3 linked regions of the Danio rerio genome follow. Each later gene encodes a partner of the first gene's protein in a complex. Links are inferred from orthologs where the notes say so. Each region holds a gene or a part of one and is shown in the gene's direction. Other genes may lie near its edges.

Region 1 (10,599 bases):
TCACGAGAAGTGCCATGGGATTTTTAATGACCACAGGGAGTCAGGACCTCGGTTTAACATCTCATCCGAAAGACGGCGCCCACTGACAGTATAGTGTCCCCTTCATTTTTACTGGGGCATTAGGACTCACACAGACCACAGGTTGAGCGCCCCCTGCTGGCCTCACTAACACCACTTCCAACAGCAACCCAGTGTTCCCTAGTGGCCTCCCATCCAGGTACTGACCAGGCTCAGCCCTGCTTAGCTTCAGTGAGTATCTGGTCTTGGGCTGCAGCGTCAATCATTCCCTACACTCAGAGTTTCAGCTCCTTCCTTCTGGTCCAGGTTTCTATTAATAAGCTGTAGAACAAAACGATTCAAAAATATTTTCATACCAGCAGCCATTAAATATTTAAATAAGGCATAGACTAAAGCAGAGATGTTTCAGTGACTTGTATATTTTAGATCATTTTAAACATTTACTTGGGAGGGGGTGGTGGGTGGACACCTAAAGTGATTATTTATTTATTCTTTATGTTTACGGTTTATGTCTTATTGTTCATTTGTTGTTGTTACTATGTGAGTTCCTTTGAGTTTGGCACTGTTATGAGATGGGTACTCTTGACTGCAAACCAAATCTACCTTTGGGTATAAATAAAGTAACCTACCTACCTATATTTATACAAAACAACTCACATAAATCAACCATCATTCCATTTTAGACATTTTTGGGATGAAATACCTTATATTTACTGTATGTTTTTATTTCAGGACAGATAATATCAGTTTCTGGTAGAATGTCCCGTACACTGACGAATCAGGAGGCAAAAATCTATAGCAAAGTAAAAGGAAGTTGTGCATTATTTTACAAAAGCTCATCAATATAGCGTGTTGAAAATTAATACGTCCCAAGAGAATCGCATAATAGCTTTTAAAGTTCTTGTACTTCCTCATTTTAATAAAAAAATACATTTCAAATTACATATTTTTTGTACATGCTTTATTGTACTGTTGGTAATCCTTGACGTATTTTGAAATACAAAACAAATATTGTGGTAAACACACAAGAAAGACACATGACTATTCCTTGGCTAATAATAACATATTTAGTCATTTATATTTAGTAATACTTTACAGAGGTGATTGAAAAAGAATAAAATGAAAAATGTATGATGAAGTTTCAATTCATGGCGTTTGCAATACTAGGGCGGCACGGTGGCTCAGTGGTTAGCACTTTCACCTCACAGCAAGAAGGTCACTGGTTTGAGTCCCAGCTGGATTAGTTGACTTTGTGTGGAGTTTGCATGCTCTCCCCTTGTTCGAGTGGGTTTCCTCTGGGTGCTCTGGTTTCCCCCACAGTCCAAACATATGCGCTATAAACTGAATAAACTAAATTGGTCCTAGTGTATTCAATTCAATTCAGCTTTATTTGTATAGCGCTTTTACAATGTAGATTGTGTCAAAGCAGCTTCACATAAATGGTCATAGTAACTGGAACAGTGTAGTTCAGTTTTTTAGTGTTTAAGTTCAGTTCAGTTTAGCTCAGTTCAGTGTGATTTAAAATCATTAGAGTTCAAACACTGAAGAGCAAATTCATCGATGCGTAGCTCTACCAATCCTGAACCATGCGAGCCAGTGGCGACAGCGGAGAGGGATAAAAAACTTCACCTGATAGGAGTGGAGAAAAAAAAACCTTGAGAGAACCAGACTCAGTTGGGGACGACCATTTTAATTTTTCCGCTGGCCAAAAGTCTTGTGCAGAGCTGCAGTCACCGTGGTGGAGGCTAGAAGCTGGTCCTGTTGACATTTCTGTATGGAGTTAAACATTAAATCGGACACTACACACACACACACACACACACACACACTCCTTCTTCATGTATATTATCTATGTTTGTATGCATTTGAGTAATTTGTAATAATTGAGGAATTTGAGCTTTCATTACTTGTTACTTTGCATTTATAAGTTATTTTGGATAAAAGCATATGCCGAATGCTTGAATTTAAATGTAAATATGACTAAAGTAATTTACTTATGCTTGAGCCCAAAAATATAAATAAATAAATAAACACAAATAAATAAATAGAAAAATAAATAAATAAATAGAAAAATAAATAAATAAACACAAATAAATAAATAAATAAATAAATAAATAAATAAATAAATAAATAAATATAAATAAATAAATAAATAAATAAATAAATAAGTAAATAAACAAATGAACATAAATAAATAAACATAAATAAAAGAAATAAAATAAAATAAATAAATAAAAAATATTTAATTAAAAAATAAATACATAAATATTAATTAATAATTACACAAAGATGTTGTTCCCTTCCCAAATGAAAACACTGTCCAAACCTCTTTGACTCTCTTTTTAAGTTTCTGTCTGCATTTTGAAAAATGATGGTGTCCGAACAGTCGATGGTCACCATTGAGTTCCAGTGTGAGAAAATACAATGGAAGTCAATGGTGACCATTAACTGGCAGTGGACGTTAAAGGTAATCAATCATTCTGTCAGTGAGCAACTATTTTATACAGGATCCCCACAGGTCATGGACTTTCTGGGATATCATGGATTTTTATTAAAGCGCCTGTTCTAGACATTGAACTTTATAATTTTTTAATATATTTTTGTCCAAGTCATGAAATATCAGACATTTTTTCCTGTTTGTTGATTAAATTACTACATTAATTCATAGACAATAATGTTTGTTTGCAGTATAATTGAAGCAATTTACCTTTATGTTAAATTAGTTTTTTCCTCACCAATAGTTACTTTTACACAAGATTTTTGGTAGTCAAACAAACATTACCAAAATATAGTTTTCTTTTTTTTTAATAGCAATAGAAATATCAGTTGTTTTTGTTGTCACGTCTATACAAGGGTGGATTTAACCAATAAGAGAGGTAAGCAGCCGCTTACGGGCCCTAGGAAATCTAGAGGCCGCCATATCTAGAAGTATAAATAATACTTATAAATTATTGAGTGCTCAGCATTATTTAGCACAACTCATTTAGAAACTGAATATTTTTATTTCTCAGTGAATGTAGGCAATATGTTTTCGTGCATTTAAATAAAACAGATTTATTAAACAGATATATTTATTAAAATTAGTATTTTAGTCACTAAACATATTTTGAAATTAAATATAAAACAATTAAATTCAAGCTAAATATTGCAAAAAAAAAATTTCAACCTACAAATTTTTTTTTGCTTCTCTTGATTTTTCCTAATATTTTTCTATAACATAAATTTGGCTGTACTTGTTTTTGGACTGTTATTGTAGATTGTAGTATTTTGTTAGATTAGCTTCAGATTTGGCTTCTGTACTTACTAATCTAATGCACATATATAATATTGTATAGCTTCCTATTATAAATATGAAAAGATAAAAGACAAATTTGTGAGGGGTGTACTAATTTATGCTTAGCACTGCATCACAGAACTTTCTGACAATTTTTTTATGGTAAAGGTCTAACAAATAAAATATTAATGTTATTATTCCATTTACGCAAATTTGCACCCCATCCAGAATTATAGAGCAGTCATTCAGTCATTTTCTGTCTCTGATTTATCAATCTCTAATTTATCAGAGGTTGCCACGACAGAATGAACCCCCAACTATTCCAGCAAATGTTTTTACGTAACCCGCAGTCAAATCTGGCAAAGATTTTGTTTTTAAAAACGAAATAGTCTATTTATTATTTCAGTTGTATTTTTATTTAAATCAAACTAATTATTTAAGATGTAGAGATTGCATTATGATAAAACATAGAAAAGGAGATTTAGTGATATAAGAAAAAATAAATATATAAATAAAAGTACAAAGGGTGCATTTTAGAATTGTTGGGGCCCTTTGGGTGGAATTGCTTAGGGCCCCTAAAAATTAATGTAAAGTTGGTTTTATATTCACACATTGGTTCAGTAACAACTTGTTACATGCGCTCTTGTTTAGCATGTTACTTTGAATATTCTGAAATCGCGTGCAAATACGACTTCAAAACAAAAAAAAATTTATTGATTAAACAGGGGAGTACATAATTATACATTAAACAGTATTCAAGAAAATTAACAACAAAAATTAATTATGTACATTAAGTATTTTTCCAGCAATTGGGATGTCTTAAACTTTAGTATTACTCTGTATAGAAGTGAGGGAATCATAAAATTATTTAGATCAATGAAGAATAGTTTACACTTTAATACAGTCAGCATACATTTTGTTTTGCGGATGTGATACTTTCCAAATAAAATAAGATTTTTTTTGTTATTTTGTCCATTTCCCAGAGTTGCAGTCCATAAATAAAACCATTTTATCAGTTATATTGATAAATTTACAATACACTTCAAAAAGTAGTGAGAAAACTTGGGACCAAAGCCGTTTTGTGTAACTGCAACTGAAAAATTAATGAAGAATTGTTTCCAGTTCCATTTTACAAAAACAACACAAAGGTGAAAAACCTTCCTTAAACCTACTAATAAAACCATTGCATGGATAATATCTATGTAATATTTTACAAATAGTTTATTTTACTTTATTGGGAAGTATGTATTTTGTAAAATCTGACCAGAGTTTTGGGGGAAAAGAATGAAGGGAATGCTTGTTTCCATTTAACCATTGCTATTAGAGGAACACTTTTATCTGCAGTCAGGATTTTCCTGATATAATTGTTATTCAGTTTTTTATCCATGATAGAGAGGCCCTTAATAGTAAGCTCTGGAAGAGAGCCAGATACATGGTTATATATTTTTGTGGTTTTAATAAGGTACATTTATTTTAGGGAGATACAATGAACACATTTTTTTTTGTATTTATTCAAAGTATTTTTTTAAACCAAAAGTGTTAATAAATTCACTGTAATTATATAAGTCCCCTACACGATTTCTCAAAACAACATTAGCACTATTAACATCAACACTGTTGGACTACTTTGATAGTCATTGGCTGCGAATATGATTTAACTATTCAGAATTAGCAAACAATACTTTTCTCAAATGATTTTGTTAATATAATTATTATTATAAATCTCTAAATTTGCACTTGTGCCTATATCAAAATCTCACTTCAAACAAAGTACAGCTAAACCTATAGAGAAAAACCTGTTCTGTAGTAAATTGTGACAAAGCCTCGGTCTTCTCCATAAAGTCTTTGCTCAGGTTAATCTATTAATGGAATATGGGTTGTATAATATTTTTAAAAACGTTAAGCATTTTAAAAAGTACATCAGTGTATTCAAATCTTGCTAAATTGGCTTGGAAATGTTTCTGTCAATTCCATTCCTGCGTAAGAGCGCCGCTCGCCCGTGCGCTGCGGCGTGGGGTTTCCCAGGGCAGACTGCAGGGTTACCGCGCCCATCTCCGTCTGATGGCCGGATGAGAGGTGAACTGAACTGGAGAGAAGTGTTCCTTCAAGGAAGGCAACGGGAAGTGGCCACCGACGGACTTATTAGCTGACCAAAGTCTCCAATCGGACATTTATGAGTGCAGCTTTTCCTCGCAGTTGAGATCCCCCCTCGTACAGGCTCATTTCCCGCCCGCCGGAGCGAGTTTTGTCGCTGTGGAAGTGGACTCGGTACTTCTCCCGCTGCTAGTTAGCGAGCTAGCTCGTCTTGTTCGTTGATGCGTGGATTTGACAGCCACACCATCGTTTTTTTCGGTCAATGCCATATAAACAAAGGCCATTTACGACTGAGAACAGGTATGGAACACTATGTGCTTATTTCAAGTGTGTGGAACTGAATGTTTCGTTCTAATCGGGTGAATTTGTTGGATAAAATGCTGGTCACCATAGAGAATGAAGGGGGGTGGGGTGAGGCGCAGGTAGCGGCTAGCCGAGCGATTTACATACACAACAGTGGCAGGCAAATATGCGAAAAACGGTTGTTTTAAACAGTTATCATCGTGTGTGTTTTATTAATGTGAATTTATAGTGCATTTAATCTCTCGCTCGGTCATTATGGCGTGAACTGAGTCGGCCGACTTAACCGGAGGCCGTTTAGTGCGAGTTCGCTTGTTAGCACCCAAAAATCGGCGTTACTTCAGAATTAAACCAATTTAGGTTTGGGGGAATTCAGTAATGTGCTTGATAGGGGCATTTTAATAGCAATTAAGATTGCTTTAAATGTTAAGTTTGGGGGGTTTTGGTTGGAGGCTGGTCTGTAAGCTAACAGGCTAATTACCGGAGCTTCTGCTGGCAAAATATTCGGCTTTTCAGCTCAGCTAGGCCTTCCTCTGTGTTACAGAATCGAGGATTTTTGGTTAGGCAAATGCTGGTTTACACACTCTCGTGTACTACAAGTGAATATTGATCGAAATGCAGTCGGTAAATAAAGATTAGCCATTTATTTGTTCACCCGATCGTCTATTGCAATCTACACCATCTGGCTGTATATTACAAGCCGTCCTAGTGTGTTTTCCCCTACACACATTTACATGGAGATGGATTTATTACGAGTCAGAATGGCGTAATCCGAAATCCCGTGTGCATTTAAGCGACTTAGCTCGTGTTAATGTTTATTGCGTTAAGTGTGCGCTGCTTCTTTTAACTACTCTTTTAAACAACCTAATTGGATTTCATTAAGCCTGTGTTTAAAGGGCCTTTGCTGTTCAGGTATATAGGTGCACTGCCTCTCTTCGCGACATCTCGGTGATGCTCCGCTACGATTCTCGCTGAATTGCTTTTGCTGACGATAAAGAATAAAAGACCTGCTAGATGTGTTTTCTCCTGCGATCGTGTATCAGAGTAATGCAGCAAAGAGCTTTGCAGTTCTTCAGATACGCGAAATGAATGGAGCCGGATGGCCTTTATCATCGCTGCTGGAATATTTTAAGAACGGGCTAGCGGCTCAGTATTGAGGTCACTATTAAGGGATTGGTCGGGGAAATATAGGCTATGGGATAAATATGTTGCGCCCCCTCCTTCTTTTTTCCCCTACCGATCGAGTTTGCCTTTCTCTTCGCTGGCATTTAGATAAAGGAACACCGTTCATGAATAAATAAACGGAATCAATGAATTCTTCAATGTGGGGCCCAAGAACAAGATGGCGTCCGTAGCCTCTCTCTCCGGCTTCCCTCTCCGCACTCATATCAGCATGCCGTTCATTTAACCCGCTGAAACGCCGAAAAAAGCACCGTTTTGCTCTTAAACGAAGCTCGTTGTTTTAAAAACGATTCCAGGAACATATTTTGAAGCTAGAGTTTATCGTTTTTTTTTAAATAAAATGCTCTTTGTGTGGCACCTAAAGCTGCATAACCTCATCCTTTATGACGCGAAATGCAATTGTGAAATATCAAATAGTGTTTCGAGTCCACCGTGACGTGATCGTTCACATTTTGTTGATTTCAACTTGTGCTTCTGGTGCTATAAATGTAGACATTTCTTTGCAGTCATGCACATAAGCTCTCACAATACCCTTTTGTGTTTAGATAATGCACTTTTGTTTGATTTTATTTTAAAACAAAAGCATAATGGATGATTCATTGCATACATTGTTGTTTTTAACTCCCTCCCAGACATCCTGCTTTTTATGCACCTAAGTTGGTTCTTTGCTTATCATGTTTATTATAGTCATTGTTCATGTTTTACTCGGCAGTGTTACATTTGCTGAAGCATTACTTGTAATCCATTTGCATTATACATTGTGCAATCTGCATTGATACACATGCAGTTTTGTAATTGTGGATAACTAAAAGCATCAGATTGATTCGCAGTGGGCACCTCAGAAGCTGATATGTGTATAATTATGATGGAATAATTGAAATCTATTCAGATAATGTAATTCTGAATATCTATTTTGATTTTCAAACTAACGCCCATTTGTTTTCGCAGGTGTTTTAATGCAAGCATGTTGAGATTTGAGCATTTCCATGTAAATGTCAGCCTTGTCATGAAAAAACTAAGCTTCAACCAAAATAACGAAACTGTTTCTACATTTTTGGTGTTGGCAAATACTTTGCAGTGCTTACACTACTCAAAAATCTCTCTGTCAATGTTTTCAAACTATTATATTTGATTTAGCAAAGTCACACAAGTGGCAATTTCACATCTGCCACATCCATAACTTTCATCTCATAAATGCAAAAATCTAAGGTAAAATAAGTCATGTTTGCTCTGTAGAGGAACAACTCTTATCCTTTTAATTAGCATTGTTTCTTTTGGGTTGCTTTGTTTAATTCATAGAATTTCTATAAAGTATGTTGTATACTGCAAACTTGCAGACTTTTTTTTTCATCATCCATAATGCATGTTTACTTTCTTTATTTAAAATCTAAAATATGTTTACAGAGATTTTTTTCTGATCCCATAACTCTGTGATTCTGGAAATATAAACCGATTTTTCGATATAATGTTCACATCAACTTTTTCTGTGAATTTAAGGTTTGAGTTTTTACTGAATTTATACATCCATAGCGTTGGAATTGCTCAATTGCATTATTTTTTTATCAAGTTTTTACCCCAAAAAATAGTTTCTGTATTTAAAGTAGGCATGGGACGATAACCGTTTTTATGATATACCGCAGTTTGGAAAAGTCAAGGTTTTAAACCCTTCTTTACCTTCTATACTTTCCCTAAGGTATGTGATTTAAAAAAAAAAATGTATTTACGTTTTATTTTTAGGACCACAGTATCTTCAGCAAAAAAAAGTTATTCAAAAATCTTGTTTAAAATTGTAAAGAAATCTTTGTTTTAGAGACTGATGAAGACCGTAGAGGTCAATCATTCATTTTAACGATTTAGCCTGACATGTTTACTGCTCCAAAATATTTAAAATGTTTCTCAAAATGAAATATGCTATGTTCAATGGGGGAAAAGTTTTTGTTTTTAACTATGAATTTAAAGAGAACATATTTTAGAGCTGTAATCATAATACCGTGATATTTTTATCCAGGGTTATCATACTGTCAGAATCTTACACCGGTACATGCCTAATTTAAAGTTACCTTTATTTGCATGAATGATAGCTAGAAGTTGGTATAGCATAAATAATAAAAGTCTAGTAAATACTTTAATACAGAGGTTAAGCTCCCCTGAAACACTACCACAAATTCTTGTGTACTGCAAGCCCAGCTCTGGACAGCTGTTTTTCCATGGGTGACGCTGAGAGGGATTATAGATTTACTGTACGTGGATTTTAGCTTTTAGGATTACAGGCTTGGATAGTGATAGTGCTGGTTACTGTCTTTTCTATGATCCAGCTTTAGCGATATGCATTTTATTTTTCTTTTGTTAATGCCTAATAAGCCGCGCCATCCTCAAACATTTGGTGTAATTCATGTTGATGGAATAAAGTTCGTCAAATGAAACGTTTTAAATGTGTTCAGATCAGCAAGAAAAAAAGGGTTGGTTAAAATAAATGTTTTCCAAAAGGATCTAAGAACGAGTTGCCCTAGAGTGACCTGAGAATACGCAGTCTGTGGCACCTTTAGGCCATTTCTTACAGCTCTCTTTTTGTCCTGCAGTCAGCTGACTCTGATCAAGTGTTTGTTGAGAGGGTGAGATTGAGCTCTGCTTGCACATATGTTGATGCCTTACTGCATTTAGCCATTCGACTTTGCTTTTGTGCTATCTTTGCATCTGGCCTTTGGCACAGCATATCCAGTATTTATGCATAATGAAGTTTCATTTCGGCAAAGAGCGAGCCCTGCTCTTGATTTTGAACACTGAACTACATTGTTAAATTCTAGCTTTGCATAAATTGATGACCGTATCATAATCTGTCATTGTTAAAGTGGTTTTTATAACAGGATGATTAAGCTAATACTGTAAATTAGTAATATTTGGGCTCTTTTTCCAGGTTTTAAATAATATAAAGTGAGAAGTGTTGTTTTTTATTATTTATTTATCCTTTTTTTATGTGCATCAGTCTCAGTAGGTTAGTTTTGGAGGCATTTAACTTTGCAGTTCAAGTTGTAGAGTGTGTTTCTGCTCGTAAATGTGTAGTGTGCATTTTAAAAAGAATTTGGTCATGTTAGGTTTTTTTGATGTATATTGCCAAGGGATTGTTTTTAAAGCTAAAGTTGTAGCCCTTCTTGTTTTTTCAGACATAAGTAAATACATATTTTTACATATTTTGCATATTTTTGGGGGCTGGGGGTTATTGACTACACTGATATTGATGCTGATAGTTTGATATTGGAAATCTGTACAATTAGTGTTGTGTACACATGATTTTTTTTAATTATTAAAGCTATACATTCTTTATATGCATCTATTTTCCCTAAAAAATTTAAATATAAATTGTACTTTTGGATTGGCGATGTAGTTGTTGATTTTTTTTAAAAAAAATTTTTGCTACTAGAATTTCAGTATGGATATTTTCATGTTGGGTTTCACTGTTAAATGAGAACTGAAGGTGAGGTAAGGGACTTACCTTTTGTAACCATGTCATTTTGATCAGCAAGATTAGAGGACTTAGGCGTATTGTCTTGATACGGGTCCATTTAAGAGGTCAGCCAATCAGGAACAGGCAAGAGTATAGGAAAGGATAAGACATTGACCAAGAGAAACATTTTCTGGCTGTCAAACACAAGGAGCCTTGTGTGAGCCGCATAAGGTAAGAATTTTGAAGTATAACCTGAAACTTTAAGGAACTTAAAGGTTTTGGCCATGTT
Region 2 (10,869 bases), on another chromosome or scaffold:
TGTATTTCTTGTAAGTAATTGTATTTTTTGCTTAATAGCAATAAATACACACACTCACGCACACACACACACACACACACATACACAAAAACTCTTTATGTTAATAATACCATTATTTTTTGCATTTACTTATACTGTACACTACCTGAAAAAAGTCACCTATCCAACAAATGATAACTTGAGATCTAGTTGATCATTTGATATCAGAAGTGGCTTATAAAAAAGGCAAAGGCCTCTAGATTACGTTTATTTTACCAAAATAAAATATGATCATGTCTTGATTTTTAATTATTTATTTAGGACAGTAAGCTCTGACTTTGCTTAAACAAAAGTCTTGTCACTTAACAGTAATTTTGTACAGTATAGAATATAAAGTTATAGTGAAAAAAAGTGGAAAAATAATTATTGTGTATAACTCCCATGAGCTTGGAGGACTGCATCCATACATCTCTGACTCAAATAACTTTGAAAAGAAATCGTTCTTCCAGGACTCCCAGAGTTTATCAAGATTCTTTGGATTCATCTTCAATGCCTCCTCCTTCATTTTACCCCAGACATGCTCAATAATGTTCATGTATGGTGATTAGGCTGGCCAATCCTGGAGCACCTTGACCTTCTTTGCTTTCAGGAACTTTGATGTGAAGGCTGATAGATGGGAAGGAGCACTTTCCTGCTGAAGAATTTGCCCTCTCCTGTGGTTTGCAATGCAATGGCCTGCACAAATGTCTTGATACCTCAGGCTGTTGATTTTGCCATCCACCCTGTAGATCTCTCGCACGGCCCCATACTAAATGTAACCCCAAACCCTAATTTTTCATTTGCCAAACTTGACTGATTTCAGTGAGAATCTTGGGTCCATACAGGTTCAAATTACGTATTCTGCAGTATTTGTGAGGATTGGGATGCAGTTCAACAGATGAATCATCTGAAAAATCTACCTTCTGCCACTTTTCCAAATGATCAACTAGAAGTCCAGTTATTATTTGTTGCTCTTACAATTGGAATCGATGACAAGGTTCTTTTTAAGGTTGTGTAGTTACTGTTTTTGTTTTTTATGTTTATAACATTTTTGAAAAATAGTCACACAATTTTCCAAAACAAAAACAAGGATTATCAATCAAACCAAGAAGCAAATTATATCTATTTAGCAATAAATGAGAATGCCCTAAACTTTTTAGCCGGAAGTCTTAGTGGTAGTTTGATGGACATGACCTTTGACTTTTAGAAAGAGCTTTCATTATGTCACCCAGTTTCGTTTTATTTAGCAGCGACAACCAAGACAAATTAAACTGAACAACCCCTGAGGCTATAAAAATGCCCTGCATCAAATTAAGCTGTCATGTTTTGCTGAAAAAGAAAAGGCTAGTATCACTGAGATAACTTTCCGGTATGTATTTCATCTTTTAGCATAAATATTCTCCACTCAATTACATGTGTGTGGGCTGAATCATTTCCTAAATAAACAGTAAATGGAACAGATATAAAGAAAAATCACTTCTCAACATATTAAAAATGAGTTCAACTCTCATTTCCAGGCCTAAAAGGAAAACAGAATCTGATCTTGTCAAGTGCATACGTCTATATCAATAATGCCTATCCTGCTTGCTTTTAGAGCTTGCTCTTAAATTCAGTCAGGCTAAAAGGACATTTCCCTTTGGGAGGACAAGATCACCCTTACCATTTTGACTCTGTTCGGAAATGCCCCTGTGACGATTAGTGGCGATATGAATAAGTCACGTACAACATGTCGAAAGTGCACAGTGCGCCATCATAACTGATGTCAATATGTCACTGCAGAGCTGACAGTATGCCATAAAGTAAAATGAGACGTATGGCACTGCAGGTGCTGTCATAATGAATGGTTTTGTCTTGAATGGCTCTCCTGGAAAGTGTGTAAGAGAAAAAATATATATGGATTTCTGACAGCATGACATGAGATTTACTGTACGCAGGTGGCAGATACAATAGATAATTATATGCAATAAAACACTTATAAATTTTGGTGTTCATTACTTTTATATTCTAAAGTATCGTCTGTTTATTGGAAGATATTACTTTTTAAAAAAATATTTAATCCAGTGTTAAATTTTCACTATTTACTTGTTGTGCGTTGCTGAGTGCTTTTATTTATTTTATCTGAACAAAACTGTTTAGTGAAAGTCCACTGTTGTAACAAAAACAAAAAAAAACAAAAAAAGAAAAAGAATTCAAACATTCTTTAAAATATCTTCTTTGGTGTTCCACAAAAGAAATAATATCATACACAACATTTGGTTAAACTCTAACTCTAAGTTTTAAAAAAAATCAATCTTGCAATACAGATATTTGTACGAGCTGCAGTTCATTTTAACACGGTAAACAATTTTAATAATGAAACACACGTTGAATCATCAGGCTGACCTCAGACAGCTTGTGGAGGGTCGTGCATTTTGAATCATTTCCTGTGTCTTTATAAAGCAACTAGAATGCAGACCTGCATTAATGCGATATGGAGAATGATTGAATATAGCCAGTTGTTCTTTTCGACACCTCTGTCTTGGACTTGCTGCGATTCCTGACCCTGAAAACAAATTTAAATCTAAAAAGGGGACAGTGTCTGGAAATACATGTGGAGGATTTGCTGTGCTGTCAGCTTTACATAAGAGTGGTAACAACAATACTGAAAACTAAAGTTCACCATGAGTTTAAGATGTAGTGTGTGTGTGTGTATACATATATGTTTTAGTGAAAAAAAAAGTATGTAACAAACCTAATTGATGCTATATTGTTTAGACAAAACTGTCCAGAATTTCTTTGCACTAGAAGGATCATTAGACGGAGAGCTGGATGGATCGAGAGATAAAAAGAGCTAAAGGATTATATGATTCCCTAGCGTTGCATAAAGTATAAAGCCAAAATAAGCACTTTTCGCCCTGGGGAAATGGGATGACAATTTTTTTCTAAATTACACTTATGCTAAATAACATACTTTTGCTTTGCATACTGACAAACAGATCGCATTCTCCAAAGCCATACAAAAGTGTGAATGTTCATGTTGAATGCACTGTCCATAAATGAGACAAAACCCCACCACTGTAGATAATGGCTCTCTTTCATACTGGAGGCACCTATTATTGAGACAAATTGGCATATCCTGTCACCTCTCATTCAAACATTTTAGAAAACCTTCAGATGAAACTTCATATTAAAGATTTGATATTATGTTTTATCTCTGCATGACAACCCATTCGCTTAAGACACAGTGAATGAGGGGTTATGCAACTCAATCAGTGCATCTATAATGCATTGACTGTAATCAATGTGCTAATTCAAACTTACTTCATGGCATTTTCTTTATTCAAACACTTTTTTAATCTCATGCAACCCAAATAGTTACAAAACAAAACTTTTAAATCTGTAAAAAAAAAAGAAAAAAAATCAGCGTACACCATTGCAAATTACCTTAAGGACAAATCTTTTACGCAAACATTACGGCATCAAAATGTTGATTTCACATCATAACTTTAGGATGAAAATAAGTGCCAGTGACGTAGACACATATCCATGTGTTTCAAATGCGCCCTGTTCCCTTCAGAGTCTACTCTCTTCGAGTGCTCCCCCTTTCAGACTGAACAGGGTGTAGTGATGCTCACTTTCGAATGGAATTCACTCATTATGAAGGCTGCTCGGTGTTGAGTCTCATGCCGCTGCGGAGCGCGCGCGCTAAACAGTGAACCGCCGGTTTGGTTAAAGACGCGCAGCCCGCGTGGGAACGGCACGGATTAGTTTGCACCGGCGAACTCCGCTCGCGCGTCAGCTAGACTTCTTACAGTTGTCACATTTTCTCTCGGACTACATTTTACCCGCACGCGCGCAAAATCTCAGCGTCTGTTCCTTTTATCCGCGCGCAGTGACGCCTCCTCGCTGTCATGTAGGGCTTCGTGTGAACGCTTTACCGTTGACCGATGGGACTCAAACAGAGGGTCAGTCAGTGCGAGGACGCAACGTGAAGAGGATCCGCCGTGTTAACAAGGAACGGATAATTTTGTAAACGAGATTAAAATTGTGGTAGTACTTTTGGAAAAGTTCAGTTCCAGCCGCAGGGGAGCAGGTCGAGACGCTTATCATATCTGGAAACACTGACTGGGTGTCGGGCGTGATTGGTGTCGTGATTGAAGCGCTTTACACCTGCCTCCCAGGACCTTAAGTAGTCAAACTCGACAGAAGATTGTTTATTGAGGATTAAGTGTCCACCGAATACCCCGAAACACAAGGATATGTCGCTTATATTAATAATAACTCCTCTGGAAGTGGGTGAAAATGAGGCAGCGATTCAAATGCGCGCATAATTCGCCCTGCTGATTTCCAGTTGTAAATGCTGCACTGATCATCCTCGGGGTGCAAATCTATTGTTTTTCGAGCAGAGGTCTGTCACCCCGGAGCAGAGCATCCGGACAGCTGCATCTGGAGCACGAGAGCGCTCTGCTGTTTGAAGGTTTCTGCAGAAAAACACACTGGAGCAATGAGTCGCATCCTCCATCCACAGGTACGACTATTATCCCATCAAAGCGTGTTTTAGCTTTACTGGAAACATGTTGTTTGTTATAAAAGCTACAAGAACTAAAACTCAAGAACATTTAATTGGTTAACTTTAATATGCTTATTAGTTAACTAGCTATGGTGTAAAAATGGTAGAAGACCGCATTGTGTTGTAAAACTATTGAAATTATGGGAGAAGAACATAAACATGTACATCATTATTATTAAAATCATGTTTATTGTTAAGTAGAGTTCCTAGAACCTTAAGTGCAAAGTGCCAGTGTGTTTTGGTCTCATTTAAAAAGTTAAATTGTTAATAGTTGTGCGTTCCGGTTTTTGTTGTGTCTTTAGTATTTGTAGCAATATTCTTTAATAGTGTGTTTTGTATTGTGTGAGTAACCCTGTGCTCTGTCACTTTGTTGTTGACAGTTACTATAGAATAGAGGTTAGTTTTTATTCAGCACATCGTGTTACTTTTCCATTGTATCACCCAACACCTGGGTTTGGTGCTAGCATCTTGTAAACAAAAAGATTTAATGCTTTAAGTATATTGGTATACTTACAGTCTAAATAATATATGCAGCTGTGAATATCATAAGTGACTGCAAAGCATTTTGTTCCTGGAAGTTGAACCAGATATTCAAAAACTTTTTTGTCGTTAAAACATTTCCAAATGTGTTTGGAATTTAATTAATTTCTTCTATTGAAAGTGACAGTATATTAAAAAGCTGTTTTTGTTCTAGTTTTACTGTGCTTTTTCTTTCACTTTTTTTTTTTTTTATCGCAGAGTAGCACTTAATGGGTGTCATTAAACTATTGCCTGACACTGAGATTTTAAGGGAAGCTGTGGAGGTAATTAATGACAATCCTTCCACGAGGGAGATCATTGCCAATGTGACTCAGCAGTGTGTGGGTGTGCTATTGAATTCTGTAGACAGTAAATACAAGCAGGGACAGGACACAATCCCCTGCCAGTCCTCAGCTGAGCTGCAAGACATTCTTTAAAGAATGTCAATTTCAGCTTATAATAGAAGCTTGGCACAGCATCACAAGCATATCATAGATTCGAAATAATGCGAAATGACATCACTTAAAGGTAAAGAGGAACAGAGCTGTTATTTTTAGCCTCAAATAGGATGCAGCGAGTTTATCAGTCTCTGCTCTGGACCGTGGCCCAGTCTGGCACCATTATGAAGTAATGCGCTGAAACTCTGACAGTCAAAACATACAAGCTTTCCGCTACCATTAATGTGCATTTTATCACTTTCAGCACTGTGGACAGCTGGAGCAGAGAGTGTTTTCCTCCGAAAAACCATTTGAGTGATGATTGATTTTATGAAAGTTTAGAAATACTGACTGAGTAAAGACACGGTAATGTGATTTTTGCTTTGCAGCTTTTCCAGAGTTGTGAAACGTCCCACGTGGCTGGCAGAGGTGCAGAAAAGCAATTAGGAATTCATACAAGCACTAATTGACTTATATTCATCTTTGCGTTGCATCAGCACATTGGTGAGCTTGCTGTGATCTGGCTGGGTATTTAAGTAAAGCGATATCTGCTTTTTACTCCTTAAACTGAAAGAATGATTCATTCCTGGTTTAGACAACATCAATTAAATTTTGCCACAATCCATCTGGGTGTTGTGGTGCTTTATAAACAACAATGGTAATTTTTCATAATTTAATCTTATATACAGTAATTTCCCAGTGGATGATAATCAGCGCTGTGCCTGCATCCTTTGATTTTATTAACATTTTTTTATTTAATTATTTTAATTAATAAAGACAGGGTTTTGTCTTATATGTGACAATGACCAAAAGGAGAAATTCTTCAGTTCTTCAAGATGACAAAATGAAAGACTGATGAAGTTATATGCGCACTTACTGTTGTTCACTTTCTTTTATTTCTGGTGGCTTTCCAATGGAGACATTGTGTGCTTATGCTCTAGTTTCAGGAAAACAATTGCTTGTCCCTCCTTCTCAATGACATCACACATGTAATTAAACGCAGTAACTAGTGATTGTTCAAAAAGTTACATCGTCGTCTGACATTACACATGCCATAAAAGATATCAAGCAGGGATTGTTCAGGAAATAAAGTACACTCAAAAAAATAAAGTACGCTGTTTGTTCACATAATTTATTTAAAATAAAACAACTGATTTCTTGAGTGTGTTTGGGGAAAACTTAATTGGTTTTTGTTCAATCCACTTAAATTGGTAAAAACTGATATGTTAACTAAATATCTTTATGTTGTCCCAACACAAATTAATTGTGTGCAACCCACCATTTTTTACTGTGTATAATTTGAGGTTATGTAATCATGACACAGCAAATATTTAGGAATTAAAATTAGTGACATATCAGTGAGCTTATTTTTTGGGGTGATAACAGCTTATTTTCAGTAGTAGGGCTGCACGATTAGGCATGGCCTGGTATAAGATTCTGACGGTATGATAACCTTGGATAAAAACATAACGATTTCACATTATTGTGATTACTGCTCTAAAATATATTCTTTTTAAATGTCTTGGTAAAAAACACAATATATTTTTAAACACAATATATATTTTACTTTGAGAAACATTTGAAATATTTTGTAGCAGTAAACATGGCAGACTGAATAATAAAAAATAAATCATTGACTGCTCTTTTCATTAGTTTCAAAACACAGATTTCTTTACAATTTAAAATGGCATATTTAGATATATTTTCTGCTGGAAATACTGTTGTCCTAAAAAAAACAAACAAAAAAAAGAAATGCTGAATAAAAAGTCTTACACATTAATTGAATGGTATAGCAGACAATTTTGGTGGTTTTAAAACCTCAAACTTTTCCTAATCACTTTATACCTTGAAAACGGTTTTCGTCCCATGTCTATGCACGATATTGGAAAAATCCAACATTGCAAGATTTTGTTGCTTTGCAATATATATTGCGATATGAGTACAGTTTCACCGAATGACTTTAATATCTCTATTGGGAAATAATTCATTAATTTAGACTGATTGGGATGCTTCTGTAGGGCAGGAAATCTTGCTTTAAATACAACAAATAAATTACAAAATATATACACACAATAGAGCAATGATTAAATAAATTTTATGGTTTTCTGGGGGAGTCTAACAGTATTCAGATTTAGAATTTAGAATAATCAAGTGTAAAACACCACTATTTAGTCTTCACATGTAGAAATAATTCAGTGTATTTAGTCTTTATTGAAAATATTTTGTGCATTGTTTTTAAACAAAACAGGTCACAGGCTGAAGAAACATGCAAATGATACATTTGTACTCTATTTTAGTGACTCTGCAAATCTCATGTGTTTTGATCTGTGGCTCTAAGTCAACTATAATCCCAAAACATACACTCAACACTGAAAATTCTGCGATGTGACTTTTGTTGATGCACATATTGCAATATCGATGATGAAACTATATATTGTGCAGCCCTATTTAGTAGTGTTGTTTTCCTTTCAGTAAAATAAAATGCTTCGTCCACCTCAGGTTAGCAATGAGAATTTTGATTGGTGCCCTCCAAATGATGATGCATTTTTCACATCACAGTGCTTAAAAAGAGTGTTTAAATGTGTGAAAAAGAAGACTATGGTTAAAGAAAAATCTCCATGTATCTTAGATGTGTTTTCCGCAGTTACGGTTTACAAGAAATCAGTTGTGTATTTGTTTGCATTGTTTTAGTGTAAACAGATTCAGAAAAAAAAAAATCATGATTTCTTTTTATCTGCTTATATTGTTTATTTGCTTTGAAATATAAAGAGTTCCAAGTCTGTTTATATCTAGGGAAAATTGCATAATCCATTACAGTGAATATCATAAAAAGACATTAATGTTATGTAGCCTGAACCAAGCATAACTTTTAGCTAGCAGCTTGTAAGGTCAGAATGTCAGATCTGAGATGATTGACTTGTCGTATTGATGATTGAGATAAAAAATGAGGCCAGAAAATGTCCATCTGCGAGGAAGTAAAGCTTATGAATGTGTAATCTTGCCCTCTTAAGCCATCAATGACATTTATTATCAGTTTGTTCTCCGCCCTGCAGCTCTTTCCATAGCATATTACCATCACGATGCTGCCCGTTGTTTTATCAGTTGCATACACCTGATGGGAGCTCAGAAGTAAGACCGGCCGATATTGGAAAAATCGGACATTGCGATATTTAGTTTTTTCTGTGACATTTATTGAAATATGTCTTGATATGACAGATGACTTAAAATGATAGTTTACCCCGAATTTTCAATTTTGTAATTATTTACTCACCCTTTACTTGTTTCAAACCTGTATGAGTTTCTTCATTCTGTTTAAAACGAAAGAAGATATTTTGAAGAATGCTGAAAACCAGTAACCATTGACTTCCGTAGTGTTTGTAATTCCCACTGCTGAAGTCAAAGGCTACAGGTTTTCAGCATTCTTCAAAATATCTTCTCTTGTGTTTAACAGAATAAAAAAGCCCATAAAAGTTTAGAACCACTAGTAATTTTCATTTTGGGTGAGCTATACCTTTAAATACCTCAATTTGAAAATAATTAAATAGTTATGCTGGATTGGGACGGTTATGTAGGGGAACAAATTAGAATCATAGATAAACAATAGAGGGTTTCTGGGGAGTCTTAACATTTTTTTTTTTTTTTGCCTGAATGCTTTAAGCTCTCTTGAAATGCTCTCTTGAAACAGTCTCAGCCATTAAAACCACAGGCATATCATAATATTTTACTCTATTGTAGTTCAACTCTGCATAAACACCAAAAATCATAGCTACTGGTCTAGTAGAATTTCAACTCAACATTGCCTATCCTGCAATTCGTCTATTGCGGATGTGCACATTGTGATATCGATGCTGAAGCAATATATTATGCAACCCTATACTCAGAACGCATCCTTTTCGACCTGTTTGTGAGTGTAGATCAGACTTCATGCTGGAAACAAGAGTCTGAGGTCAATCGCCCCCAAGGACATGTGTTTGTGTGTTTATATTACTGCACAGGAAGAATAATTTCACCTGCACACATGACCCTTTCAGCCCTGTTAAGCACAGGAAGCTTCTGTGAAATTACAATCAACCCAGTGCAGTTCAATAAGCACACTGGTCTAATTAACTCATCACAGAGATGTAAGAAGTGAAGAGGCTTCTCGGTCTCCACAGACCCAGGCGGCTTTGAGCTGGAGGTTTTAGCATGCAGGAAGCTTATCAGTTTCTCCTCAAGATGTCAGAATTTAAATGTCAGAAGCAGACAAGCCAGAGTCTGTTTTGTGCTTTTTGTTGCAGTCTGGATTGCTTGATTTTTGACGTCTTTATTTATTGTGGTGCCTCTGAGCCTTTGGATGGTGTGCATGCTATATTTAGATTCATGGGAGAACTAGAATGATAAATAAATAGTGTTTACACGAGCTGATGATATGGTAACATCTTAAGGTGAAGTAGTTACATGTTCTGTGCTACTTTTGGTTACAATGAATTATGCATAATTACATGTAACTAACGCTAAACCTAACCTAACCCACATTCTTATATTACTCAGTAGTTAAATGATCAGATAGTCTGTAACTACACAACTACACTTGATCTAACTACTTATTTAACATTATCTGAAACCACACACTTCGAGATTTCATTGGGACTATTTAATTGTTTTATGTTTAATACTTACATTTGTAAAAACTAATGTTAACTTAATTCCTTCATGTTGTCAACACCCAGTTTTTTTTTTTTTTTTTTTTTTTTTTTACAGTTTATGTCACAATACACTGTTAAAATGCTTGGTTTCACACAATTCCTTCATAAATCAATTACAGTAAGTTAACTTGATTGCTTTAACAGCTTTAAGTAAGTTGAACATAAAAAAATTAAGTTGTCCCAAAAAAACTCCTCAAGAATTGTGTTGTTTCAAAGTAGCTTGAACAAGCAGCAAAATAATTTTTGAGTGTAAAATTAAATGTAACTGGTAATGTTCTTTTGTTTATTATAAGTGGAGTCGGGTTCAGTTAAGTTTATTTTGTCATTCAAAATATCACCATAGATTTTAATGCAGAACAAAATTAAGTTACATCAAACCCAGCAAAAACATAAAAAAATCAGAAGACACTATAAAAACCTAGCATAATAAATAAGAAGAGGTTTGACAAGATCTCGTATGACGAGATCTCATGAGATTAATCTAGAGGTGAAAAGTTATCTCGTGAGTTATGATGTTATGATGGAGTGTGTGGGTAAAATTAGACTGGAGATAGGATTGCAATTGAACAGCAAATCAAATATTTCGCACAAACCAGGCAACGCAGGAGTTGCATGTCACTCGGCTGGGCGTGCAGATGTGACGTAACCATTTGTTTTTCAT
Region 3 (10,603 bases), on another chromosome or scaffold:
ATATATATATATAGTGAATTAACAAAATATTTAAGGATATTTTTTAAATTTGCAATTCAGGAGATGATTTTAAATATATATATATATATATATATATATATATATATATATATATATATATATATATATATATATATATATATATATATATATATACTTAAAATCATCTCCTGAATTGCAAATTTAAAAAATAAATATTTATATCACCATTTGGCCAGAGCCGTTAAGGGTGGTAAATCCGCATTTTCATTGAACTTATTTTCTACTCGAGATGTAGCCTACCATTTGACAACTCATAATGACCACCATTTTACTTTAAAACCTCCTTTATATCACTTATAAATATAGCATTCTGTCTAAGATTCAGTCAAAGTAACAGCAATGTAGATAACAACCGCATCCTGCTGGTCCAAATCATCATTCTTATACATATTTATCATATACCTGCCAACACTCCAGTTTTTCCCGGGTCCTCAACTTTTTGGTACAGTTTTGAACATCAACACCCCCAACCCCCCCTACCCTGGTCGTCAATCTAATCTGGTCCATTGTACAATTACAATTACAACACAAACAACCCCTGGTACTCAACTTCGTTACTCAGAATAGCCCTGCCAACCAACTCAGCCCCCCTGGTCTACTGGAATTTCGGAGAAAAATGTTGGCAAGTATGCTTTATATTATGTCATGTGACTCATATCGCTTTTCTTACTGTTCGGCATCATCTTGTGACTGAATACTATGTTGCTGCTGCATTCACCTGCACGTTTATGTTTAATTATTAAATCAATACATGTCAAATCAATGTTATGTGTTTACTTGTTTACATTGGGTGGCAAGTAGCCATGTAATAAGCAGGATAATGTATCTAGGCAGTGGTTTTCACAGAATAAAGCCTTTCAGTGTTATATAATCACTGCTGATAAGCCTGTCAGCTTTATTCTGCTAGAACAACCACCTAGATGTACATTATCCCTTACATTTATGACAGTAAATGAGACATTCGCCAGTTAATGTGAAGAGGTAATATCATGCTTTTTTACAATTACTTTCTTAAATGTGTGATGTTGCTGTTTAAGCATGAACAAAATCTGCAAATTTCCAAAGCACAAAGTCCACTCTGAAGCAAGTTATTCTCTATCAGTGAACTCCACTGTAGTCCTGAAAGGTAATTTCGGGCGTGTGCATTAAACAACATTCTCAGTTGAAATAATTCAAGGGTAGAAGGTTTGGTTGAGTCACAATGTGCTATCTGCATGTTTTACAGGTCTAATATTCTGACACATTTTCCAGTGATGGGTTGCGGCTGAAAGGGCATCCGTTGCGTAAAAAAGTGCTGGATAACTTGGTGGTTCATTCCACTGTGGCAACCCCGGATTAATAAAGGGACTAAGCTGAAAAGAAAATGACACCGATACAATCTCCTCCCAAGTGTTTATCTTACATTTACATTTACATTTAGTCATTTAGCATCTTCACAGGCATGAAAAAACAAAGATTATTTGAAAAATCCAAGTTTAAACAATATTGGATGTATTGTTTTGAAATAACCTTGTGTTTTTTTGACATTTGGTGTAAAAGAGAATAAGTATAAGAGGTTTACCTAAAAATGAAAATTTACACTCCATTTATTCACCCTCAAGTGGTCCCAAACCTTTATGATTTTTTTCTGTTATTGAACACAAAAGTCTTGGAGAAAACTGAACTAAACTGAACTGACCACCAGAGTAAGTAAAACAAATACTATGAAGGTCGATAGAGGTTTCCAACATTTTTAAAAATATCATCTGTAATGTGTTTAATGGATGAAAGAAACTAATGTTTGAAATTATAGATATTTTTATTTTTAGGTGAACTGTGCCTTTAAATACTCTCAGATGACGGGCCATCAAACATCTTTGTATGCTCTTAGTGTCTTTGGGCTCAGAAAACAGCTGGAATTTAAACTGACAAAGCTTTAAAATCATATGAGCATCAAAATAAACTAAGACACAAGATGTAAAGGCTCCGCCCTTTACTGGAGAGGAGCGGGGAGCAACAGCTCTATTGCATTTAAAGAGACACAAAAAACTGTGCTTTCATTATTGAGGTATTTACAGTTTAGTTTAGTTTATAGTTTAGTTTATTTATTTATAAAGAGCAATAAAACAGCAGTTGTTGACCCCCCCCCCCCCCCCCCCCCCCCCCCCCCCCCCCCCCCCCCAAACCACCCTCTTTACTTTGTGCTCACCGCGGATTTTCTCCCGGATTTTATGATCCCAATTTTGCCAGGAATGGGGTACCTCGTTCCACATTTTAGGACCTACTTCAGAGCAAGTTTCATCTCCTTTTTTCGTTTATTTGTATCTGGGAACTACTACCATCTTCTGGTTCTATGACCTTAAACATCTGCAAGATATTTTAACAGTAATAATATTAGAGAGATAAGTCTGAGCCTGGCCATTTAAAACCTTAAAAACATACATTAAAATCTTAAAACTCAATTCTAAAACATATCGCCAAACAATTTAAGTAGCACAGGATAGGGTAATGTGTTTAAACTCGGGCTGCATTTTAGACCACTTGAAGACATGATGTGTGATGATGTAAAGGCATGGATTAATCTCTCAAATTCTGCACGAGTTAAAAACTTTTTTTCACTTTGGCTAATAATCTCAGCAGAAAAAAAAACAAGATTTAACAACTGCATTTACCTGTTTGTCAAATAGAAGCTGCTCTTATATTCGACAAACAGTTAAATGCAGTAGTTAAATCCAGAATAAAACCTAGATTGTCCAACATTTGATTCAGCTACAGCATAGTACAATAAATAAATGCGGTATTTTAAGGTTCAAACTTAACGTAACGTGGCTTTTATTAACATTTTTAATAGTTTAAAGTGATATTTTATCTGGGTCAGTGTTGTATATTACGGTACAAAAACGTTGTGCTAAGCTGCCAGTGTATTTTCTGTTATTTTAAAGAGATATTTCTTTATATAATATTTCTTATACATTATATTATTTCAAACCACTAAAGAGTGAATAAAAGTCACTTTGTTAAACAGTAGAGTTGAATTTTCAACATCTGGTCTGAACAGTCTACAGAGCAGAGATCAATGTCAATGCCATAATGCAATTCACGACCATACATAAATGGATAACAAAAAATATGGAAACTGTGCCTTGTGGCTAAAAAGATCGTATAATATAATTTACATGTATTGTTTGGCATTATTTGTGATTTTAAAAGCACGCATAGACTCTAAACAGCTACCTTCTGCATTCTAGAAGAAAACACGGTGGAAAAACATAATGACCCACGAAAACTATTCCTTTCTACTGTGACAGACCCCGCCTCTCCTCATGATGTATTAGACACAGGAATGACAAAATAACATCTAAATGAGAGAGAAGAAAGCAGCGGTGACAGACGAAAGCAACCAAGAGACACCGAAAGATGAATTAAAGAAGATGCTTATAAATATAACGGTACACAAACTTCACAAAAGGTAGGTTTCCTTTCAGTCCATCGTGCTTGAGATAACTGTTAAAAGCTAAAATAGTCAACCTGACTAAACTTGTTCGAGAGTCTGTCAACTGTTTTGCCTTTTATGGTACAAGGAGTCTTGAAACTTAGAGACATTCTTGAGAACAGATTAAAAAGACAAGCACTCAATAAAGCTGAAAAATATTGTTTGAGGTTTGTAAAATAATGAAGATATAAGTAATATTCAAAAGGCAGTAAAGACCTAAATTATATAAATGCCATTTATTTAAATTTATTTCAATCAAAAAACAAAGTTAAAAAATTTCCAAACGGTAATAAAATACACTCAAGCATTCAATTATATTAAAATCATTTCAGAAAGAGAGAAGAAAGCAGAGGTGATAGAACAAAGCAACCAGGAGCACCTAAAGATGAACTAAAGAAGCTGCTTTGAGGTATAACAGTACACTAAAGCTATGTTTTGCTTTAATCCATCATGCTTGAGGTGATTGTTGCAGAATGAAGGCTAAAATAGTCAACCTGACTAAACTTGTTTGAGATACTGTCAACTGTTTTGCCTTTTATGGTACATGGAGTCTTGAAAATCTAGAGACATTTTTGAGAACAGAACGAAAACATAGTGTCAAATGTTTGGGGTTTGTATAAAGAAAAGAATTTATTGGCAGCTTTATTGGCAGGTATGTTTAAGCACTTTGTTTTGGACACAGAGCTTCTAGTGCAACAGAATGACAGAGACATACATAAAAATATTTTAAAAATAGAAGTAGTGAATGCAAATATATAAATTGGCAAGTGTAAAGGTATATTACTATATATAACGTGATATGAGCAGCTGTTGTGTGTAAACTGACATGTAAAGTATGTTGTTGAATAAGTGTATATGTGTATAAAGGGTATTGCAAGTAGTTATGTTTGTTTCACAATTACTATCATAAAGTGTTCATTAGATGGATTGCCTGAGGAAAGTTTGTTTTATATAAACTCTTCTTATATTATATTATATTATATTATATTATATTATATTATATTATATTATATTATATTATATTATATTATATTATATTATACTATATTATATTATATTATTAATTTATTAATTTAAAATATAAATAAATGCCATTTATTTAAAAAAAACGAGTTAAAAATTTTCAAAATGGTAATAAACTAGACTCAAGCATTAAATTATTACAATAAAATGATTTCAGAAAGAGAGAATAAAGCAGAGGTGATAGAAGAAAGCACATATTATATAGGCGGCGCAGTAGGTAGTGCTGTCGCCTCACAGGTTGCTGGTTCGAGTCTTGGCTGGGTCAGTTGGTGTTTCTGTGTGGAGTTTGCATGTTCTCCTTGCGTTTGCGTGGGTTTCCTCCGGGTGCTCCGGTTTCCCCCACAGTCCAAAGACATGCAGGACAGGTAAATTGGGTAAGCTAAATTGTCCGTATGAATGAGTGTGAATGAGTGTGTATGGATGTTTCCCAGAGATGGGTTGCAGCTGGAAGGGCATCCGCAGCGTAAAAAAAATGCTTGATAAGTTGGCGGTTCATTCCATTGTGGCAACCCCAGATTATTGAAAGGACTAAGCCAAAAAGAAAATGAATAAATTAATGAATTATATTATATTTTCTAATTATATAAATAAATGACATTCTTTTCAATTTTAGCAAGGAATAGTTAGATAAAATAAATATGTTCAAACATTAAATCTTTATATTAAAATGATTACTGAAACATCATGTGGAACTGGAAACTGTAACTAATGCAAGTGAAATGAATGCACTGCAAGATTTGGTTAGTAAAAATTCAGGTTTTTACAGATTTTACAGCATAAAAAAAAATAATAATAATGATTTCCCAGTATTAAAGTTTTAACTTTAATACTTTAAGTTTTAAAGTTTAAACTTTCTTAGCAAAATAATGTTGTGTATGCAATGTAGAAATTATTATAAAAACAGACAGTTAAATTTTTGTAATATTAAAAACACGCTGGCAAAAATCAAACTCAAAATCTAGGTTTTAAAATATTTTATAAATAAATATTTTATAAATTGTAGAGAAGTTAAAGATAGAACATGCAAACTCCTCACAGAGATGCAACCCCAATAATGTTAAAGTAAATTAGAAAATGCAAAACTTACATAAAAAGAAAAATTTACATAAAAAGAAGATACCTTATAAACAAATGCGATTTGGACTACAATTATTAATAATACATAATAATATATATATATTTTTTTTAATACAGTACAGGACCTTTGTTACTATACTTGAGTTGTCTTTGTCTTTGTCTTTTTTGGTTTGTATATTCATTAAAACCAATGAAAAAACAATAAAAAAAGATGACATTTTGGCTATCACATTGCGATTTAAAGTAAATGTTGCACGTTTATAATAATAATTAAAGAAAGAAAGAAAGAAAGAAAATACATAATAATTACATGTATTAATTTTTTTCACAACTCTCTTTCCTTTTTCCTCAAACCTTTCTTTGTTTTCTAAGTAAATACTACAGTTGGAGAGATTCATGGGGCAGGCACTGACATGTTCAGGTTAAGCATCATGACAAACTGCATGTTTTACAGGAAAAAATGAGATCCATTATTACTCTTAGATGAAACTGTAGTAGGTTTTACACCAAAACAGCATTTATTAAGTAACACAGTGATTCGTGCTTAAAAAAAAGTTCCTGCTCAGCACAGTAATGCAATAATTTTAACACTATACCACAAACTATTATGAAAGACTCTGAAATAACAAGCTAAAACAAAACACAGACCATGACAAACCTTGTGACTCAAAACTTTTATGACTTTTTGATCACGTCTAAAATGAATAAATATTTCCACATACCTTAAGATGATGTTATTGAGGTCTTGAAGAGAGTGTGGTGTTGTTTTGTATAAGATGAAACTAAGTCAAAATAGCATCAGCACAAATCTCACAGACAGAATAACACAATTAAACATAACCACTGTTCATTAGGGTATTACTGTAAATGCAGTTAAGTAGATAGAGTTTACTTAACTTCAAAACGCATCTGATTATCGTTCACCTCAGCTTCCTATTTCTCTGACATCTCTTCTTCCTCTTATCTGAAAACATTAGGAAATCTGTTGTAAAATACTTTCTTGCAATCTCTGTGACCTTCTTAAAGATGTACAGCAACAGTTCATCGACACCTACATTCTTTATACTTGTCATTTTATTTTGAAATCGGAAACATTTAACTGAACTTTAGCTTTGTTTTAAAAGGATAGTCATGGTTTACTCACCCTCATGTTGATGACTAACTTTTTGCCCCTATGGTGGAATGACTTTATTTTAACTCCTCAGCAGCAGGTAATTCACAATACCTCACACCTCAAGTGCTTTAATGATTTTAAAAAATGGTTACACGAAGAAGCTTAAAATGTAAGAGCTTTTTTTTTTCGAAGTAAAACATTACATTTTATCCTTACAGCAGAAATATAGTCCCTAAGAATACCTGTAAACAGCAACAGTATGTACAGTAAATGTGTAATGTGCCTTATTTGCTGTTATAATGCCATGAAATGTATTTTCAACACAATATATGTACACACATACACATTTTCAAGTCTCTGTTTTCATATTTTACATTAAACTACACCAGTTTTCTAGATAGCATGAGTTCACCTAGCCTTGTTAAAGTGTCAAACTCATTGTACTAAACTTTATAAAGGGAAACTTGTATATACTTGTCTTCTGCAGGCTTCTATACAAGCACAAATACAAACCAACAATTAGAGCATCCTAAAGGAGATATATCACCCTCCGAAGGGAACGGTAGAGTAAAAAAATCATGGCTGCCATATTGAAGTGCTCCATATTGAAGTATTCAAAATGAGCTATTATGAACTGATAGATACTTCAGGCCATGATCCTTTCAGCAGGGAAGTTATTTGGTGTCACACACAGCATTAAGTTCGTAAGGGCTCTTCCCAATGCCCTAAACCCTTACGAGGGATTTGCCAATGGGATAATGGCATACGGACAGGAGCACCACTGGCCGGTATGGACCCAATGAAAGCAGTTCTTGGGTGACACATATAAAAGTAAAGAGGGGGGATGTTGTGAAGAGTCGGGGGGTTTGGTCAAATGGCATGGGCCCTTAAAATCTTCCTAACTTTCCCCCCCTTCCTGTAGGGAATTTGTAAAATGAGCCTATTTCTAAAGAAAAGTGTTTAACTAGTTAAACAAAGCCTTTAGACTCTACAAACTCTAATACAAACTTCTAGACAAGTGTGCTAGAGATGTTTGGAGCTAAAATCTATGTTGGTCATATGAGAGAGATTGGCAAAAAAAAAATCATAAAGAAGAACAGTGAATTTACGCGTATGATTAATTTCAGACTGTGACATAATATATTATTAAAGTTTCTCTTTTTTTAAAGCTTCTTGTTTTGTTTTTTTTAAACAGAAATGACTTCCTCATTCCTGGCCAATTCTTCCCTCGGCCCTTCAGAGCTCCACTGTCCCCTCCTGCAGATGATGATCATTCACCGGCTGAACAATGACAATCGGGTCAACATGGCGGCGGTGATTGTGCATGGTGTGGTTTCCGCTCTGGGGATCCTGGAAAACGGGCTGGTGCTCTGGGTGTTGGGTTGGCGTCTTCAGCGCAAGACTGTTGCCTCAGTGTGGGTTCTCAATCTGGCTCTGTCTGACTTCCTAACCACACTAACCCTCCCGCTGTTCACTTATTACCTGCTAAACGAACACAGCTGGGAGTTGGGTGGGCCATTGTGTGCAGCCCAGGCATCCATTTTTTTCCTCAACATGTTTGTTTCTGCCTTTCTCCTGGCCGCTATTTCTTTGGACCGTTGCTTGTTAGTTACTAAGCCAGTGTGGACTCAAAACCAACGCACAGTGTCAATGGCGTGGAAGATCTGCGGTCTCGGATGGACGTGGGCTGCTTTTAACACGTTCCCATACTTCATGTTTCGTTCTGTTGTGGTTAAACAAGATGGACGCAAACTCTGCTACCACGATTTCGCTCTCTATTCTTCCCCGAACACTTTGAACATAGACTGTAAGGTACGTCAAACGGCGACAGCGGTGTCTAAAGTGTTACTGGCGTTTGTGGTGCCCCTAGTGGTCATCGCCGTCAGTTACGCTTCATTCGTTCTGGAGTTACGGGCTCGCAGAAAGAGGCTTGAAAGCAGGTTAAAAGTTGCGAGAAACGACAAACAGACATCCTCAAAGTTCTTCCGCGTCCTCTCTTCATCAAACGGACAAAACAGCACTCGCCTATCACAAAGTTTCACAAAAATGATCTTTTCGGTGATCGCAACGTTCGTCCTCTGCTGGGTGCCGTACCACCTCTTCTGTCTGCTGGAGGTGACGGCTCAGTACAAAACAGAGTTTGTGGATGTGGTGGAGGAGTACTTACCTTTCGTGACGACATTTTCCTTCCTGAACTCTGTGTTGAATCCAATTATCTACACGTTCAGCTGCCCGGACTTCTGCACCAGGATCCGCCAGAGTCTGGGGACTCTTTTCGAGGGGTTGGTGGAGGAAGCTGGACCTCTGTTGGTTGCTGGACGAAGGAGAAAAAGTGATCTATCATCCCCTATTTTTTTACTCCGCTCCCCCACTACTCCTAGAACCCACCTTGCCCAGCTCAAATCTCAGGGCTCCTTTGACCCCTTTGCCTTTAAAAGCCATCCTATAAATGAGGGAATGAAGGACGCCAAAATATGACTTCATAACATATCCTGGCAATCAAGGTCAAGGTCAAACTTATTGTCTCCCTTTTTGAATGATTTTTTGTTAGAAAAAAGGTCTGCTGTACATAGACACCCACAAGACAACATATATGTATTGAATATGGCCGATCAGAATCACAATTATTTAGTTTTTATTCAACAAATAATACACCATCAACTTCTCCTATCCAGAAAAGACTGGATGGTCAGTTGTAATTCGATTCCAAGGTATTTACAGGAAGGAATGCTCAGAAATGGACACACAGAGAACTCCTACAAGCTTCTTGCTTAAAGGTGCAGTAGTTGATCTTCCACAATGCTAACAGCTTAGCATAAATCTCTAAATCACAGTCCCTCTCTCTCGTGAACGCCCGGCGGTCGACGTAGATGCATACAAACGGCTGCACAGTTGTTCAAATCTGCATTTGCTGACAGATAGATTGGGCTACTTATAGGAATTATGAGAGATGACGGTCCGACTCTATTTAATTGGATGAACATTTTTTGTTTTATGCCTTACCCAAAATATAAAAATACATATAAATACTTTTAGATCATTTACTGTAATCATTACTATTAGACTGTGAAAAGACTTTCAACCAGCACAAAAAAATGCTTCTGAAGACAATCACCTACTGCACCTTTAAGTCTTATACTTTTAATGTAAACCTTTATTCTCTATTTATTAAGTCTCTTGCTCATGTATTAATATTATGGTTTTTATACTTCTGCAGTAGATGTTTAACTCTACCACAGATAAAGAAGATCATAGATGGTTTATGTTTGATGTCTCTGCAAAGCTAATTTTGTGTACTGAATGATTGTTTACATTTTATGTTAATGTGTGTGCAACATATTAACATTACAAACAGTTTTGAACATTTCAGCATCAGTTCACACCCAGAATGCCTATGCAAATCCCTACACTTTGGAACAAAGACTATAAAACGTGCCTCTGGGAACTTAACTATTCATTGGTCCACTCAGCTCCGGAGGGTGGGCACAATACCACCCTTATAAAACTGGTAGCCTAAGGCCACCGCCCAGACCAGAATCCAGAAGAGAACTGACACAGACCCCAGGAGAGAGAGAGTTGTTCTGTTTCAGCTCAGGACAGCTTCTCAGCACAGCTCAGACATTCTCATCTACGATATCTTTCTTTCTCTCTTTTCCTTCGAGAGTCTGCTTAAGTTTAGTACGCCGCGAGACCTCAAAAACTTGAAATGACAGACTCCACCACACACCAAGCCTAGCGAGGACAAAGAGCTGACACGCTAACTACGTGGGAATATCAGCTAAATAGAGGAAGATCTTCACATCACACAAGGAACGCAAGTAACGCCTCCAGATTATCACTGAACTGGTGTCAATTCGATGTAACCTAAAAGAAAC

Evidence for each region. The genes of interacting proteins can lie anywhere in the genome.
Region 2: the proteins of gnb1b (region 1) and crhr1 are in contact, whole or in part, in a cryo-EM structure (PDB 6PB0), measured with the Homo sapiens proteins. The link is inferred for Danio rerio from reciprocal best matches to the Homo sapiens genes GNB1 and CRHR1. Residues at the interface, in NP_001269468.1 of Homo sapiens: Arg42, Arg46, Arg52, Phe292, Val307, Ala309, Gly310, His311, Asp312, Phe335; in NP_004373.2 of Homo sapiens: Arg145, Ser146, Lys376, Arg380, Asp383, Lys384, Ser386.
Region 3: the proteins of gnb1b (region 1) and prostaglandin D2 receptor 2 are in contact, whole or in part, in a cryo-EM structure (PDB 8XXV), measured with the Homo sapiens proteins. The link is inferred for Danio rerio from reciprocal best matches to the Homo sapiens genes GNB1 and PTGDR2. Residues at the interface, in NP_001269468.1 of Homo sapiens: Thr50, Arg52, His54, Leu55, Gly310, His311, Asp312, Ser334, Phe335, Lys337; in NP_004769.2 of Homo sapiens: Cys59, Arg60, Arg62, Lys314, Arg317.

The regions. Positions count from the first base shown.
Region 1 is NC_133181.1:56,062,657-56,073,255, reverse strand, and holds the start of gnb1b (guanine nucleotide binding protein (G protein), beta polypeptide 1b), read left to right. Parts: upstream 1-5,407; 5' UTR 5,408-5,686; intron 5,687-10,599. UniProt on the Homo sapiens protein: Guanine nucleotide-binding proteins (G proteins) are involved as a modulator or transducer in various transmembrane signaling systems.
Region 2 is NC_133178.1:20,401,066-20,411,934, forward strand, and holds the start of crhr1 (corticotropin-releasing factor receptor 1), read left to right. Parts: upstream 1-3,647; 5' UTR 3,648-4,501; coding exon 4,502-4,525; intron 4,526-10,869.
Region 3 is NC_133176.1:47,346,724-47,357,326, forward strand, and holds the start of prostaglandin D2 receptor 2, read left to right. Parts: upstream 1-3,381; 5' UTR 3,382-3,490; intron 3,491-6,336; exon of another isoform or gene 6,337-6,578; intron 6,579-7,923; 5' UTR 7,924-7,925; coding exon 7,926-9,206; 3' UTR 9,207-10,603.